Oryzias latipes: one gene and its partner. The main gene of each other region encodes a partner of the protein of the gene in region 2 in a complex. Links are inferred from orthologs where the notes say so. Each region holds a gene or a part of one and is shown on either strand. Other genes may lie near its edges.

The links. The genes of interacting proteins can lie anywhere in the genome.
Region 1: prmt5 (region 2) and wdr77 share a complex: the UniProt entries of both Homo sapiens proteins name them as parts of the methylosome complex. The link is inferred for Oryzias latipes from reciprocal best matches to the Homo sapiens genes PRMT5 and WDR77.

The regions. Positions count from the first base shown.
Region 1 is NC_019863.2:2,526,076-2,531,027, reverse strand, and holds the start of wdr77 (methylosome protein 50), read left to right. Parts: upstream 1-1,864; 5' UTR 1,865-2,172; coding exon 2,173-2,281; intron 2,282-2,459; coding exon 2,460-2,645; intron 2,646-3,526; coding exon 3,527-3,665; intron 3,666-4,729; coding exon 4,730-4,779; intron 4,780-4,924; coding exon 4,925-4,952. UniProt on the Homo sapiens protein: Non-catalytic component of the methylosome complex, composed of PRMT5, WDR77 and CLNS1A, which modifies specific arginines to dimethylarginines in several spliceosomal Sm proteins and histones.
Region 2 is NC_019875.2:17,815,334-17,819,296, forward strand, and holds part of prmt5 (protein arginine N-methyltransferase 5), read right to left. Parts: intron 3,648-3,963; coding exon 3,562-3,647; intron 3,435-3,561; coding exon 3,300-3,434; intron 3,231-3,299; coding exon 3,118-3,230; intron 3,038-3,117; coding exon 2,988-3,037; intron 2,911-2,987; coding exon 2,747-2,910; intron 2,663-2,746; coding exon 2,501-2,662; intron 2,405-2,500; coding exon 2,327-2,404; intron 1-2,326. UniProt on the Homo sapiens protein: Arginine methyltransferase that can both catalyze the formation of omega-N monomethylarginine (MMA) and symmetrical dimethylarginine (sDMA), with a preference for the formation of MMA.

The DNA of each region.
Region 1 (4,952 bases), on a different chromosome or scaffold from region 2:
GATGCCGTTCAGTGACGACAACCGGGGGGAAAACCGTCACTTCATCCGCCTGACACGGCCGAGAGCTTACCGTTTACGGCCACGGTGACAGACCCGCGAGACCCTAAACCGAGAAAAGCCAATCACATATCGATTTCAGACAGAAGAGCACTAGTGTGAAATTATCCCTAATCATCACTTCCGCTCTGCTCTTTCACAATAAAGTCTGGAGGATGAAACCTCGGCTTCTGCGGCTTCGCATCTTTATTACATGGAAATCACACTCAAAAGCTGTTCCATCAAACATCAAATTCAACATTTCTGGTTTGTTTTTAGCTTCAGCAGAACACCATTGCTCATGCAAACTGTGCATCTTTGGGGGATCATCGATTTTCTAAAATAATAAAACACGTTTAGGGGATAACAATAGTCATAGTTGTTTGTTTTCTTTATAAAAACTATAAGATAAAATTTCAATAGAAATTTTAAAATAGAAATAACGTTAGGAATCCCACTAGGTTATGCCTAAATCTTACCAGCACTATTTACAAACGTACAAAAAACTTGTTTTTTATTAAATAGGCTATAATAAATGAAGGTAAATCTGCAAGACATAAAAACTGAACAGAATGAATAAATAAGAATAGTTTAAAATATATACTTACAATTTTTTATGTTGACCATCACATAAAGAAAAAAACAAATATTTGTGCAAAACAGCAGAAATTGATCCTTGTGAGCCACAAGTGATTCTCGTGCTCCTTCTCATATGTAAAAACTTAAAATTTATCAAACAATAATCACAGAGATGCTACGCTCTAGCACATATGTGTATGCGGGCTCACTGTGTCCTAATGAACACAATTAAAAAACTTTGTGTTTTCTTGGTGTACATAGCACAAAGCTACAGCTTACAGCCCTCAATACAATTGACCTGTCATGCTTTACAAATGTATAACTTCTATACCATATAATCCAGATCGTTTTTAAATTTTCTGCATCCTTATGTAATTTCTTTGGGGATTTTTGGGAATGTATAAATGAAAGCTTTGTACATTTGTTTACTGACAATTCCTAAAATTATCCATTTCAGACCCCAGCTGGGTCCTTTTATTTATGCGTTTTACACGAACACGCTTCATGGAATTGTTTTATGACTTAATAGTCCTTTAGGTGTCTGTGTGCATGCCTGTGGGACCCTGCAACAGACTGGTGACCTGTTCAGGGTGTACCTCACCTTTTCCCAACAGTAGCAGGATAGGCTCCAGCAACCTCACGACTGCAAAATGGATTCAGCCGGTTCTGAAGATGGATGGATGGATGGCTGGACTTTGTGTTGAATTTTCCACCATGTCATTGCTGTCCCAACCTCTTTGTTCTGAATGGATGGGCAGTAAATGAATTTCATACTTATTTCTCAGTTAGAAAGACACCTCAATTTTTGCTTCCAGATCATGTTAACATCCCAAAGTACAGGAAACTCAGTCACTGTAAGCTGTTCGAGTCACAGGGGTGGCACAATTAATCGACTTAATCGATTTGCTTTCCTACGATTCAACCAGATTGATCTGTCTGAGGCTAGTTGTTAATCAAATTGACTTATTCAACTACATCTGCTGGAACAAGTACTCAGATAAAACCAAGCAACACATTTTTTTTAAACGTGGATAATTTATTTTAAACAAAACATTTTAAAACCTGGTTAGATCCCGTCACATTTCACACTCACAATAAATCATCATTGCCCACCACCAACCCGCGCCTGTGCCAGACCAAACACACCCACTAATACAGAAAGCTCTCATATTGATTGAAATGAAGCCTTGTAGTTCACCTTCTCTGCCCGCAGGGGGCAGTGCAGACGGGAAACGCACAAGAGGAAAAGAACAATAAACACCAACGAAGAAGTCCTCCAAACGCCTAAGGGACCTTTTCCCCACCGGTCCCACGTGTTTAATGCATTATTATTTCGTTGTCATTCATTCGGGACGCGAAAACGTATCCATTGTTTTCGCTAGAAATGTTATTTTAAGCTCGTATGCGTTTTAGGTGTATATTTCTATTTTGCCTAAACAGAAAATACGAGCTTTTCTTTGGCCGCAGCTAGCTTAGCTAGCGTTAACGGTTGTGTAGCTGATTTGCGGACAACCACATCTGAATTAGTGGGAAACTAGACTAAAGTTTGCTTTTTGGATGAACAGTGCAGTCGACACAAATATGATCAAGGAAAATCGGTGGAATATTCCCCCAAACGCTCCGGCGTGCATGGAGAAGCATCTGTGCGCGGCTCAGTACCGAGCAGGTAGGAAGAGAGAAGGCGCTAACCGTGGGTCACAGGCATAAACCACGTGCTTTTCATTTATGGGACTGGGGGTTTGTTGGTGTCCTGATATATTCAGCTCAGTTCTTTAGTTCGGCTGTAAACTGGTGTGTAACCTTTAGAAACGCTGCTTCCCACGTTCGTGCTGTGTCCTCTGCAGACGGCACGCTGCTCCTGGGCGCCTCCAGCCTCTCGGGCAGGACCTGGCAGGGGTCTGTGTGGATCTACAGGGAGCCTGAGCAGGCCCCCAGTGAGGGCTTCTGCAGGGCTGGCGTGCAGACGGAGGCAGGGATCACTGATGTCAAATGGGTCACTGAGAAGGCCATTGTTGCTGCTTCAGATTCAGGTGCGTCTCAAATGATCCTGACAACTAAAAACTCAATGTTCAATACTTTACAAACATTCTGCTATAACTTAAACTGGCTTTTCCTTCAAATGTAAGAACATATTCATTTGCTGTTTTACATTATTTTAAGTATTTATCCTTTTTCCACATTTTTATCTGTCTTTTTTAACTCATTTTTACTTTATTCTCATCTAATAAGTTTTATTTATCTTCGTATTAATCCCTGATTTTACCTTATATATTTTATTTCTTTAACATTTTGTTGCAAAATTCATGTTTTCCTCAGAGGGATGTTTTAAGTGAAACGTTTTTATTTTTAAATTGAACGCACTTTGTTTTACTGATGTATGACAGGTGCTTTATAAATAAAGTTTAATTTGATTTGAACTGTGGAACAAACATCCCATGGAGCCAGTCGGGCCGCAGGATTATGGCCAAGGGACGGATTTTCTAAGTTCTCAGATTTTTCCAGTAATAATTGCATATTTTATATCGGATTATAGAACTTTATTAACTTAGCCAGAATTCTCCCCAATAATATTATTATTTATTAACATTTAGATGTCATAGTATTTCTTCTCCTTTCTTTCTTTTGGCTTCATTTGTATTTTCCATTTGTTTTTTTTCCTCCAACATTTTTAGTGAATCAGAATAACAGTTCAGTGATTGCATCTACGCCTGTTTGTCCCTTAGCAGCCTCCGTCCTGCATCTTTGTTTAATGGAATCAGGTCTGTCACTGAATTAAATATTAGGCTGTCATCCGTGTGTAAGAAAAATGTACTTCTAAGTGTGTTGGGACAGATTGACATCAGTAGACAGGGATGCAGTGTTCTGTTGGTTGGCAGGATTGTGTTTGGACAGAACTGCTTCTTGTCCTCAGGTGCTCTAGAGCTCTGGGATTTGGCAGAAGATGAGCGGCTGCTGGTTAGTCGCTTCACCAAACACGAGCACGACCACATCGTGACGACCGTGAGCCCCACTGGAGCAACCGGCGCCGTCACCGGCAGCATGGACTGCAGGTCAGACTGCCGTGTCTGTTAGACCGCTGAAACGTTAGTATCCACTCAGAACTCTGAGGGTTTGATGTGATGTCAGTTCACCCCTTACTGCTACAACTACTTCCACTATGGGTTCATATCAGGATCAGCTTAGTGAATGAAAAACCAGATTGTAAATAAATAAAAAAAGATCATTTGAAAAGTTTTAAGCTCAAAAGAACATTAGGATGTGTTCAGACTGGACACTTTTGGTCCGTTTCAAGTGAACCAGAGTTTGTTTCTCTCAATAATCCGGACCAAATTTTCAGTCTGAATCCCCCCAAGTGGACCCTCATCGTCGTACCTTCGTACCATCTTCTTGCCAGTAAGCGTCTTGCAGGATGCCTCCGCCGTACCAAAGGAGCAGTAAAAAGAATTGTTCCTGATGTTAATACAGGCGCCAAAAACGAATGAGCGAAATATAAAGTTTTATTAAGTGAACCATCCCGACAAGGATTGCAAACTGGAGGACTTCCGTAGTTTCTGTCTCTAGTTGCTTTGCCCCGCCCTCGTAATTCCTGGCCTGTGGGTGAAGAGGCGCTTGACGGGAGCCTGAATACAGACCAGATGCAAGGTTCAGGCCTCGATCCATACCAAATGATTTTTCCAGTCTGAATACACACCAACACAATATTGAAACATTACAAATTGTAAAATAGAAGCTTGAATTAAAACAAATCTAGGCTAGTGCTTCTTCACCAGTCTGGTGTTCTTGTCCGTATGAACTTTGCTTTCTGAAGTGCAGTCGTGTTGAAACAGCAGAGATTCATCCTCTAACTCATCAGACTTGTGGGTAAATCGTGGGCCATCAAAAAAAACATTAGATAAAAATATGTTTTAAAAAATCTGTCTGCAAATAATCCTCCTCAGCATTTGACTGACATGCAGAACGGCCAACCGAACATCCTCTGATACATACATCCGCCATCATCCGGGTGTCATGACATCACAATCATTTCACTGACAGCCGACTGGAAGATTTAGGAGCGTGGAAATGTTGTGACTCGGATATTTTTCCTAAAATAAATGAATTCTCTTCAATGCAGGATTAAAGTGTGGGATCTCAGTCAGGAAGCAGCTGTGACCACCTACAACAGTAAGAGAGCCTTCAGTGGCAAAGCACTCCTGTTTATGCTTTTGACCAGGAGTGTAAATGATGATTTTTAAGTCGAGTTGTGTGTTAGAAGTGTATCAACGGTGGTGTTTGCAGAAGGACAAACACTTTCTCTCTCTCCGTCCAGTTCACACTCGGCCCGTCAGCTGTGTGAC
Region 2 (3,963 bases):
AAAAACAAACCCTTCCATTTACAACAACCACACTCTGAAGACCCAATCTGATGAAAATGTTGTTCTTTGGTGTTATTGTGTCATTTGTCTGATGGAGGATATGTATTGAGAAAATTAAGCATACAATTGAATTTCTGCATTTTTCTTTATTCAAATCGAGGAGAATAAGGAAAAGACGACAAAAATGCAGTTGAATCCCCCCCAAAAAAAGAGCGTGTTTGTGGCGTTTGGTGGGCCACAAGCAACGGGGAAGGGAAAGGGGGTGGGGTTGCTCCACACCAGTGGTCCTACCCACAACTCAGGCAAACGTCTAATGAACTACTGCCGCTAGCTTCAGAGGCAACATGTTGCACTAATGAATGCTAAATCATAACTTTCACAATGATGCTTTTATATGACACAGGATTAGCAAAATGTCGTTTTTGACAAGAGAAGTAAAAATATATACATATTCATGTAAAAACTGGCATAAGAAAAAGAGCGTTTAAAGTCAAACTCAATCAAACACGGGTTGGGAACATGTTAAACCTCCATCTTTGTTTGTTTTGACTAAATAGTTCGCCTACCGCCCCAACAGATCAGCAGAAGATGCGGTGGCACTGGCACTTCACTCCACCCTGCAACATCAGGACACCAAGAACACGTACGCCCGGATTCTGTTCCTGGACTACAGCTCTGCCTTCAACACCATCAGGCCCCTGAAGCTGACTGATAAACTCGCAGATCTGGGAATACCAACACCCACCAGAAACTGGATCCTTGACTTTCTCACTGACCGACCACAGGTGGTGAGGATGGGAAAGCAGGTCTCTGCTGAGCTGACAGTTAGCACTGGTACACCACAGGGGTGCTGCCTCAGTCCAAAGCTCTTCTCACTTTACACCCACGACTGCACCTCCCCCGACTCCAACAACATCATCATTAAGTATGCAGACGACACAACCGTCCTCGGCCTCATCAGAGGAGGGGACGAGTCTGCATACAGAGACCTTGTGCACAGGATCACCATCTACGGAGAGGACAACGACCTTGTTCTCAACGTAGAGAAAACAAAAGAGATAATCGTGGACTACAGAAGGAAAGCACCGCCACATCAACCGCTCATCATCAACGGGACTGTGGTGGAGCGGACCGACTGCCACCGGTTCCTTGGTCTGCAGATCACAAACAGCCTCAGCTGGGAAAGAAACACTGCTGCCACAGTGAAGAAAGCCCAGCAGAGGCTGTACTTCATCAGGCTGCTGAAGAAGGCCGGTCTCAAGCGCCGGACCCTCACCCAAGCCTACAGGGGGCTTGTGGAAAGCATCCTCACAAGCGGACTAACAGCCTGGTTCGGTAACACCACCTTAAAAGAGAAGAAGATGCTGCAGAGGGTCATTAATACAGCTGGAAAAATCATAGGTTGCAACCTTCCATCCATGGACACCATCTACAAACAGCGCTGCAGGAGGAGAGTGACTAAGATCATCAGAGACAGACACCACCCTGCTCATGGACTGATCCAATGCGTGGACTCAGGCCACAACCTCAGGCGTCGCAGGCCTGAAAGCATCCACGCACACACCACACGCTTCCACGACAGCTTCTTCCCAGCTGCAATCAGAATGCTGGCTAAGGACATCAGAGAGAGAAGACTGGACTAAAATACTAAGTGCAATAAACAATAATATGTGCAATAATTCTATGTGCAATAATGCTTCTGTACAGATTGGGTCTCTGCAATATCCATTATCATATTTTACTGATATTTATATTTTTATACACCATGTAAATTTGTTGTCTAATTTTGACTTTTAACTTTATTCTATTTATTTTTATTTTCTTTATTATTTCTTCTTCAAATTTTTCTTTTGTCCTTTTTTAACTTATCCTGACATGAGAGATGCCAAAGAAAAATTCCGATGTACCGCATGTGCAAACGGCAATAAAACTTGAATCTTGAAATGCAAAAACTTCGGTCTTCCTGTAATTTATCCATCAAATTTGTTTTGCTTTTTTGTTCTTTTTGTCACACATGACGTTTAAACTGACGTCTTAATGGCTAAAGATGCTATTCCAGTGATGAGGGCCATCTCGGAGGGCTAATGGACGAGTGTCTGCCCTGAGACTGGAATCAGATCCATTATCAGGTCATCCCGGAGACGACCCACTCTCAGACATTCAGAGTCCAGCGGGATAAATGACCAAAATGGGTCCAAAGTTCAGCGATGGCTGCTGGCCGCCACTAATAATTAAAAACACTACTGGGAACACTTTAAAAAAGACATCAAATGATGATCGGGGTGGGACTTTTAAGTCCTAATATTGCTGCTTTTGAGGACCTTACCTGTTGGTACTGAGAGTATTTGATGGGATCCTTCTCAAACACTTCATAAGTCTGAGATTCCAAATTGTCCATGAGGGGCTAAACAGCAGAAGTACAGATCTCACTTATTAATAATCATAATTTCCACACACACAAAAAAAAAAAGATGCGACCCTAATCCTAGTGCTTCCTCACCTGTAGAGGTGACTGCAAGTAGTCTTCATAGCCTTTGGCGAAGAGCTCATAGGCGTTGGGGGCTGGCCTGTTCTGGTTGAGGTATTCAAGGTATTGCAGGTAGGACCTAAAGTCCTTCTCAGTGTGCCGACTGGTGCCTGTGAAGATAAACTGGGCCTCCAGCTGAAAGGAAGTATTTTTGGTTAAACAGAATGGATTAAAACCATCGATAAATGTCTGAAACAAATGGGTGTAAAGAAGAAGTACCTTGAAAAGGCGAAAGATTACTCTTTGGTGGGCTTTTGACAACACGGGAAATCCCTTTTTGTTGGTCAGGAAGAGGCTTGTAGGAAGTATGGCAGCTTTGATTGGCTCCCCCATCCATTTATCGATCACTGCGTCTGAGGGCATGTCTGCACCGATATCAATAGCTAAAAAAAACAAACAAACGTGAAGTAACGGAATTCCGACTGGTCCAAAGCTACCACAACATGGTTTGCTCCCTCACCGAGGCAGATCCTCTTATTGTAGTCACAAAGAGTTCGAAATGTGTTCCACCTGAACAGAAACAAAACAAGAAAAAAGGATTTGAAATTTGACCTGAGAGAGGTGGAGGAAGCAGATGCACAGAAACTCACCAGTTCCACGTCTTCTCATCAACACTCGTCTCATCAGGACAAGAAAAGGGTTCGTTCTCAATCAGGTCTTCTCTCGTGTCTTCTGCCGCCATCAGTGGAACACGTATCCAGAACTGAAGGAGAAAGACGCGGTTGAGTGACGCTTTGGTAACCTACGGAGCAAAGGCCATCCCGTGTCTTACATTTGAGGTGTGGTGTCCCGTGTGGATGTGGCTCAGCAGCAGGCGGGCCAGATTGGCATTGTGAGGGCCCGTCAGAGGGATCATGAAGACAGGGAGACCCAGGTATGCTGAGAAGTTCAGCTCTTGTGTCAGAGCCTGTGGAAAATTATAACAAAATAAACCTCCTAACCCCACAAGAGCTGGCAGTCCTCACAAGAGTTCGCCGATGCCTGAATGGAAATAAAGACCCGTTTCAAATGGTTCAAACTTGAAAAGAACTTGCCTCCTCTGAGTTCCGGCGCTCGGTCTCGATTTCTGAGTCTGCACAGATCCATGGAGAAAGCTTCCCAACAATGAGAGTACCCCAATCTGTAAGAAATATCAATCAGTATTCAGATTTTCTGTTGAACAGACAGTAAAATTTACATAGATCACTTCCGTTTGAGTGTTTTATTTTTTTTTAATGCTTGACTGTTGCCGCCTTGCTTTGAAAGGCAAATCGCGATCAAGCTTTATTTTTAAATGGCACTTTTCCTATAAAAACAAAAACACAAAGTGCTTTACATTAAAATAAAACATAAAAACAAGCATGAATATTAAAATAGAGCCCCCTCCCCTTTCACACCTTCCTGATGGGGATAGGCGATGTCAGCAGTAGGAGAGGCTAATATTTGGGACGTTCCTT